Linked DNA regions of Rattus norvegicus. The protein of the gene in region 2 interacts with the protein of the main gene of each other region in a pairwise test. Links are inferred from orthologs where the notes say so. Each region holds a gene or a part of one and is shown on either strand. Other genes may lie near its edges.

Region 1 (4,072 bases), on a different chromosome or scaffold from region 2:
TTTTTCTCACTGATATTAGAGACTCATCCTTATAGCTATGAGGCAATCGACTATGGTTTTTGGATTTAGAGAAAACTGTTGTAGTTGGATGTAGTTGTGTACACTTGTGATACTAACACTTGGGAAGCAGAGGCAGGAATATCAAGAGTTCAGGGTGAGTCTTGGCAGTAAAGTGATTTCAAGCTCAGCCTGGATAGGATGGCCAAAGCAGTGGACAATGGAGATATGAAACTCAGGAAGAGAGGACGCCTACTAAGGGAATCATAACACAAAGGGAGGCAGACTTTAAAACATGCAATGAAGTATAAAGAATGAATAATATATGAATAATCACAATTGATCAAATTAGATAAGACATATGATTCTAAAAGAAAGGAATGAGTAGGTACCAATCTGTCAGCATTTTCCTCAGTATATTGTTAACATTTCTCCTTAAAAGAGGTTAAACTTTGCTTTACTCTTAGCCTCCCAATTCTCAGCACGATACCTGACAAGGAATATTTATTGAACAGTTAAGTGAACACTGGGTGCACTGAAAATACTGTAACTGGGAGATAACTTTATATTATACAGAACCTGTTAAAAGGAGTATGTATGTATGTATGTATTTATTTATTTATTTTTATTAACTTGAGTATTTATTTACATTTCGATTGTTATTCCCTTTCCCGGTTTCCGAGCCAACATCCCCCTAACCCCTCCCCTTCCTTATGGGTGTTCCCCTCCCCATCCTCCCCCCATTACTGCCCTCCCCCCAACAATCATGTTCACTGGGGGTTCAGTCTTGGCAGGACCAAGGGCTTCCCCTTCCACTGGTGCTCTTATTAGGCTATTCATTGCTACCTATGAGGTTGGAGCCCAGGGTCAGTCCATGTATAGTCTTTGGGTAGTGGCTTAGTCCCTGGAAGCTCTGGTTGGTTGGCATTGTTGTTCATATGGGGTCTCAAGTTCCTTCAAGCTCTTCCAGTCCTTTCTCTGATTCCTTCAACGGGGGTCCCGTTCTCAGTTCAGTGGTTTGCTGCTGGCATTCGCCTATGTATTTGCTGTATTCTGGCTGTGTCTCTGAGTATTTATTTTTAATATCAAACTCTCTCTTTAATTCAGGTAACATAGTTCATTGATAGTTATTCAATCGCCAACTCTTTACTCTGAGACTGTGGTGGTTTGTATATACTTGGGCTGGGGAGTGGCACTATTAGGAGGTGTGGCCTTGTTGGAGGAAGTGTGTCACTGTGGGTGTGGGCTTTAATACCCTCATTCTAGCTGCCTGGAAGTCAGTCTTCTCCTGCTTGCCTTTGGAACAAGATGTAGACCTCTCAGCTTCTCCTGCACGGTGCCTGCCTGGATGCTGCCATGTTCCCGCCTTGATGATAATGAACTGAACCTCTGAACCTGTAAGCCAGCCCCAATTAAATGTTGTCTTCTAAGAGGTGCCTTGGTCATGGTGTCTGTTCACAGCAGTAAAAGCCAGAGACAGAGAGACTCAGCAGGAAATAAGTCAATGGCAAATAAACCACATATTGTGATGCAATAACCTTAGAACTGATAGCAAGCCAGACAATTTGAAAGGAGGGAGAATGTTTATGAAAAGTGTGGCTATCAACTAAGATTACTCTTGTTGCTATCACAAGTGTTGTTCCTGAAAAATGATCTGAAGTCCAACTATATCTCTCTCACTTGGTCAGGATAGGATTTTTTTTCTGTAAAACCTTCTAAGTTTTGCTTTTACCAACACACACCACCATATTGATGTATTATTCCTATTTATCCCAGTTCCCCAAACATGTAAGTTCCTATACTAGTCACCTCCTTGTTTGCTACCAATGTATTCCATGCACTTAAGGGAGCGCCCAGTATGGATTCATTCTTTAATAAATACATGTTAAGTCCATGGCTTCCAGACGTAGTTATTCAAAGGGAAAGAAATTTTCCAAAGGGAATGGTGATACAAATCAGAGTATAAAATCCAAAGGAAAAAACTTGATAATTCATTGGTTATGAGAGTCAGAGCCATATTAGCCAAAGAGCCAAGATCACGATCAACTTGGTAAATATTGGCCATCAAGGAAAAAAACCCAGTAACATGCTCAGACAATAGGTTTGAGTGGAGATCCCTCTAGGATAGATTTTTTTAAAAATAATCCTCAAAATACTAAAGACACAGAAAATATTTATAGAAAAATTGATGACTTTTGAAAAATAATCCTGAAAATATAAAGACACAGAAAATATTTATAGAAAAATTGATTTTTGGAAGATAATCCTGAATATATATTTGTTAAGGTTGTAAGGTGGGGGGCATAGGAACTCACAATGAAGCACCAACAAGCAAAGGGAAAACATGAAGCAGGAAGTGATATCGGTGAACATGGGTGACAAGAGGTTTTTTTTTGTTGTTGTTGTTGTTGTTGTTTTTTTTTTTTTTTTTTTTTTTGGCTATAGAAGTCTGCAGAACGCAAACGAGAGAAACAACATCTTTGCACCCTGTGATGACAACTTAAAGGACACGCTGTGACACCAACCCGAGACTCCACAGCAGTGTGAAAACACACTTTGCCCAAACTGGATCTGCTCGAAAATTAGACACCAGAGAAACCAAAGCCACCCGTATCCCACCTTAGCCTCCCTCCCTCTCATCCCATTCCAGTTACCTGGCCGGGTACCCCCTAGCGGGCACTCGCGCTCCGGACTGATGGGCGCGGGTCCCCCCAGGGTCGTCCACTGCCTGAAACAAGAGATGGACGGGACCCGAGGCTGCAAGCTTCCGGGTAAAGCGCCCCGCCTACGCGTGGCCTCCTGGGAACATGAGCTCTCCTCCAATGGGAGCAGAGTAGAGGTCGGGATCCGAGGCGTTCCCACCCCCCGCACTTCCCAGGACCCGCACTGAACGCTGGGAGTTGTAGTTCTGAGTGTAATGGCGCCGCGTCTGAATTAGGTCGTATCAACAACTCATATACAACATTGAACGCTGTACTGTGATCCCAGGAAACGAGAAGATGCAAGACAACACAAGCAGTGTGTGTGTGTGTGTGTGTGTGTGTGTGTGTGTGTGTGTGTGTGTTTGTGTGTGTGAATGTGTGTGTCTCTGTGTGTGTTTGAGTGTATGTGTTTGTGTGTGAGTGTATGTGAGTGTGTGTGTCTGTCTGTGTGTGAGTGTATGTGAATGTGTGTGTGTCTGTGCATGTGTGTCTGTGTGTGTGAATGTGTGTGTTTGTGAGTGAGTGTGTGTGTCTGTGTGTGTATGTGTTTGTGTCTGTGTGTCTCTGTGTGTCTGTCTGTATGTGAATGTGTGTGTTTGTGAGTGTGTGTCTGTGTGTATGTGTTTGTGTCTGTGTCTGTGTTTCTGTGTGTGTGTGAATGTGTGTGTTTGTGAGTGTGTGTGCTGTGTGTATGTTTGTGTCTGTGTATGTGTCTGTGTGTGTCTGTGTGTGTGTCTGTGTGTAACTCTGAAATGCTACCATAGTCAAGATAAAAAACCTTCCCGTTACTGTAAACTTCACTGTGTGCCTCACCAATCATTTCTCCCATGCTTTGGCAGCAAAAATAACAGCAGCGGCAGCAACAACACTCAGCGGCAGCTACTTTTGTGTGACCTGTGTCTGCTGGGCTCTCTGCCCCCAACCCCCAGCCCAGCAAACTCTGCCTCCTGACTCTGTGTTACCAACCCTGGAGTTTTCTCTTACTTAAAACATTCCAAAGTCTCCTTTCCAACTCCACACCTCCAACCTCCTCGCCACACACAAACTCGAGAGGCCGTTCTCCAGCTTCACCATTTCATACAGAATCCTCACAAGGTTGCTACAGAAAGTACTGTACAGCCATTGCTGCATCCGCAAGGTTTGCCTCCCGCATCGCCGCCGCCTCATTTCCTTCTGCAGTTTTCACATTGCACAGACCCTTGCCCTGCACTTTTTTCTTATTCTTCTCAAACTTCTTGGTTACATCAGCCATCCCCACGGTAAGGTTGTCACCCACAGGTTGATGATTCTCATGGATTTAGGAAGCCCAGACAATACTCTTGAGGCCTGGTGTTAACTGGATAGCTTCGGTATCTAAATCTTAATCTACAATT
Region 2 (3,500 bases):
ACTTAAACCTGCTCCAAAATGGGGGCTGTGTCAATGTCATCTGCTGCTTACCAGACCAAGTGGCAGGCTGTTACAGTCTACCATGTTCCAGTCCTTACCTTAGAGCCAGGCCTGACAGACTTCCTCATAGGGCCCGGGGCTCACATCCCCACTCCACACCCCAACCTCTCATCTCCATGCTGTTGGAAAGCATCTCTGGGCCACCTGTTGATGAGTGACTATCTCAAAACCTGTCACAAGTGAGGCTTCAGGTGCACAGGCGTCCTCTGTGGTTCCTGCTTCAGCCTCTCCCTTCACTTCTCATGAGGCCTGCACTGGGCCAGCAGCCACTGTCATTTTGGCTGGCAATGACCTTTAGAGCTTGTGGGCAGGGTCCTCAGACATGCCATCTTTGGGGTTCTGTTCTTTTCTGGTTTTGTTTTTTTTTGTTATATTTTTGTTTGTTTGTTTGTTTTAAATTTTGCTTATTTGATGTCTGTGAGCACACTGTAGCTGTCTTCAGACACACCAGAAGAGGGCATCAGATCCGATTATAGATGGTTGTGAGCCACCATGTGGTTGCTGGGAATTGAACTCAGGACCTCTGGAAGACCAGTTAGTGCTCTTAACCACCGAGCCATCTCTCCAGCCCTTGGGGTTCTTTTCTTTATTTTTTTCTTTTCCTTATTTGGCTCTTCTGGAACTTACTCTGTAGACTAGGCTGGCCTAAACTCAGAGATCCCCCTGCCTCTGCCTCCTGAGTGCTGGGATGAAAGGTGTACAACACTAATCGCAGCAGGGTTCTTTTTATTTTTATATGTGTATTTTTAAATTATTTGTAAGTTTTTGTCAGTCATAGTTATGTAGGTGGGTGTGTGCTTGGGAAGGCCGGTGCCTGTGGAGATGGAGGTTTATAATGTTCCGGAGCTGGATTTACAATCCTGTTCCTCCAGTTTCCAGAAGGCTGTGCCTGTAGACCATGCTGTGAGAGGTTGGGGTACATGGCCTCCACATCGGCTTCCTGGGGTGAGGTGGGGCTCACAAAAATGGCCATTAGCTGCAGGCAGCACTAGCTAGGACCTCAGAGGCTAGAAATGGTGACATACCCCTGGTGCAGCCATGGATCATAGTGTTCCACGTGCTGTCCCCAAACTAATGGCCACTTGGTCTTCACAGTAAAGTACCTGGGGCTGCTGGCCATGTCTAAAATCCTGAAGACACATCCCAAGTCTGTGCAATCCCACAAGGACCTGATCCTGCAGTGCCTGGATGACAAAGACGAGTCCATCCGCCTGCGTGCCCTTGACCTGCTCTATGGAATGGTCTGTGTCCCTGTGGCCAGCATGGGGGCCTGTGAAACTTAAGTACTTGGGTCATTCATTCCTGCCCAGGCTGGGATAGCAGCTTGAGCCTGCTACGGTCAGCCGATGGCACCTGTCCAGGCTATAAGGAATGGGACTGGGTACCCAGTACAAGAGTGTCTTGTCACTCTCCCTTAGTTAGATACAATTCTGCTGTTTGGGGAGGAAGCCATCCCTCTTGGGCTCATGAGTTCCATCTTGGCTGTCAGTATTCATGGCTGGTCGTGTCTGCCGTGCTCCCACAGGTGTCCAAAAAGAACCTGATGGAAATTGTGAAGAAGCTTATGACCCACGTGGACAAGGCCGAGGGCACCACCTATCGTGACGAGCTGCTCACCAAGATCATTGACATCTGTAGCCAGTCCAACTACCAGCACATCACCAACTTCGAGTGGTACATCAGCATCCTTGTGGAGCTGACAAGACTGGAGGGCACCCGGCATGGTCACCTCATTGCTGCACAGATGCTGGACGTGGCCATTCGGGTCAAGGCCATTCGAAAATTTGCTGTGTCCCAGATGTCTTCGCTGCTTGATAGTGCCCACCTGGTAGCCAGCAGCACCCAACGCAACGGCATCTGTGAGGTGCTCTATGCTGCTGCCTGGATCTGCGGGGAGTTCTCGGAGTGAGTCGGTGCGGCCCTCGGAGGTGGCCTGGTGGGGGGACATGTGGGCAGTTTGCCCGATATGATCAGTTCTGGGCAGCTCTGCCCAAGTGATTATCTGTCTTCTTCCATGGAGTAGCTTGGCCAATTTGGGTCACACTGGCTGTGGGAAGTGCCCTCTAGACCATGAAGCAGATCTGTTCTGCTTTGGGTGACTTCCAAGCTGGGCAAGTTGCCACCCTCAGAGCCAGGCCTCAGCATACAGTGCTGAGAGTGAGCCTGTCCCCACTGCTCTCCTAGAGCTCCAGGACTATTAAGGTGGGTAGGCCGGATTCCACCTTGCACACTTGCCCAGAGGACACATGACAGCTGTGACCCACACAGGTGTGCATTTGTTGTCAAGTGGTAAACTCTGCCTGTCACAGAAGTCTCCTGGGGAGCACATCTCTCTGGGAAAAAAACCCACAATTGGCCCAGCACCTCCCTTGCCCCAGAGCTCAGCCCATGGAGGCTGCGTATAAGTTGCTCTTTGAGGACCCAGGGCGAGCTTCCTCTGAACCCCACAGGGCAGCACAACACAAGGATGCCAGGAGAAGTTATTTGGTTTTTGTGGTGCTAGAAATTGAACCCAGGGACTCGTTTATATCAGGCAAATGTTCATTACCAGGAACAAATCAATGGCCGTGTGTCGGCCATATAAGTCACATGGGTTCCCTGCCTTCTGTGTCTACTAGTGGTGGTCACATCTTTGCCATTGTTGCTTAAACAACGCCCCTTTGTAAAATTCATGGTTCTTAGGGTTGGGGATTTAGCTCAGTGGCCCTGGGTTTGGTCCCCAGCTCCAAAAAAAAAAAAAAAAGAAAAAGAAAAAAATTCATGGTTCTTGGTTCCCCGCTTCTGTACAGTGAGAGCAGGTGCCCGAGGTTGTGCTTTAGCTGAGAAGCCCAGCTCTCACGTAGCCTGGCCTGACTGACTTGTGAGATGGGCCTGTGGGCATGCTCGGTACCCTCATGCAGCCCCTGTCCCCCAGGCACCTACAGGGGCCCCAGCAAACCCTGGAGGCCATGCTGCGGCCCAAGGTCACCACACTGCCCGGCCACATCCAGGCTGTGTATGTGCAGAACGTGGTAAAGCTGTACGCGTCCATCCTGCAGCAGAAGGAGCAGGCTGCCGACACTGAGGGGGCACAGGAGGTCACCCAGCTACTAGTGGAGCGGCTGCCACAGTTTGTGCAGAGCGCCGACCTGGAGGTGCAGGAGCGGGTAAGGCTGCCAACTGGGGATTCTACTCACAGCTGAGACTAACCTGGCAGTGGCCGTGGCTCATGCCCTATGGGTACTTCAGGGCTGGCATGTGTCCGGCAGTAGTACAGGGATGCCCACCCATGCTCCAGAGGTCCTCCAGTCAGGTAGCCTCCTAAAGGTTCCACAGCTCCCTGCACAGCACCTTGAACCCCAGTGGTGTTACCAAGGACACTCTGGGGATACCCTGAGCCCCTTTCCAGGTCCTTGTCCCCAACAGAGCCAGTAGATGGGAGAGAGTTTCTCCTTTTTCCA

The links.
Region 1: the proteins of Ap3d1 (region 2) and Vamp7 interact in a two-hybrid assay, tested with the Homo sapiens proteins (2 studies listed by BioGRID and IntAct). The link is inferred for Rattus norvegicus from reciprocal best matches to the Homo sapiens genes AP3D1 and VAMP7.

The regions. Positions count from the first base shown.
Region 1 is NC_086030.1:21,840,956-21,845,027, reverse strand, and holds the start of Vamp7 (vesicle-associated membrane protein 7), read right to left. Parts: upstream 2,801-4,072; 5' UTR 2,652-2,800; intron 1-2,651. UniProt on the Homo sapiens protein: Involved in the targeting and/or fusion of transport vesicles to their target membrane during transport of proteins from the early endosome to the lysosome. Required for heterotypic fusion of late endosomes with lysosomes and homotypic lysosomal fusion.
Region 2 is NC_086025.1:9,641,495-9,644,994, forward strand, and holds part of Ap3d1 (AP-3 complex subunit delta-1), read left to right. Parts: intron 1-1,155; coding exon 1,156-1,301; intron 1,302-1,585; coding exon 1,586-1,965; intron 1,966-2,974; coding exon 2,975-3,206; intron 3,207-3,500. UniProt on the Homo sapiens protein: Part of the AP-3 complex, an adaptor-related complex which is not clathrin-associated. The complex is associated with the Golgi region as well as more peripheral structures.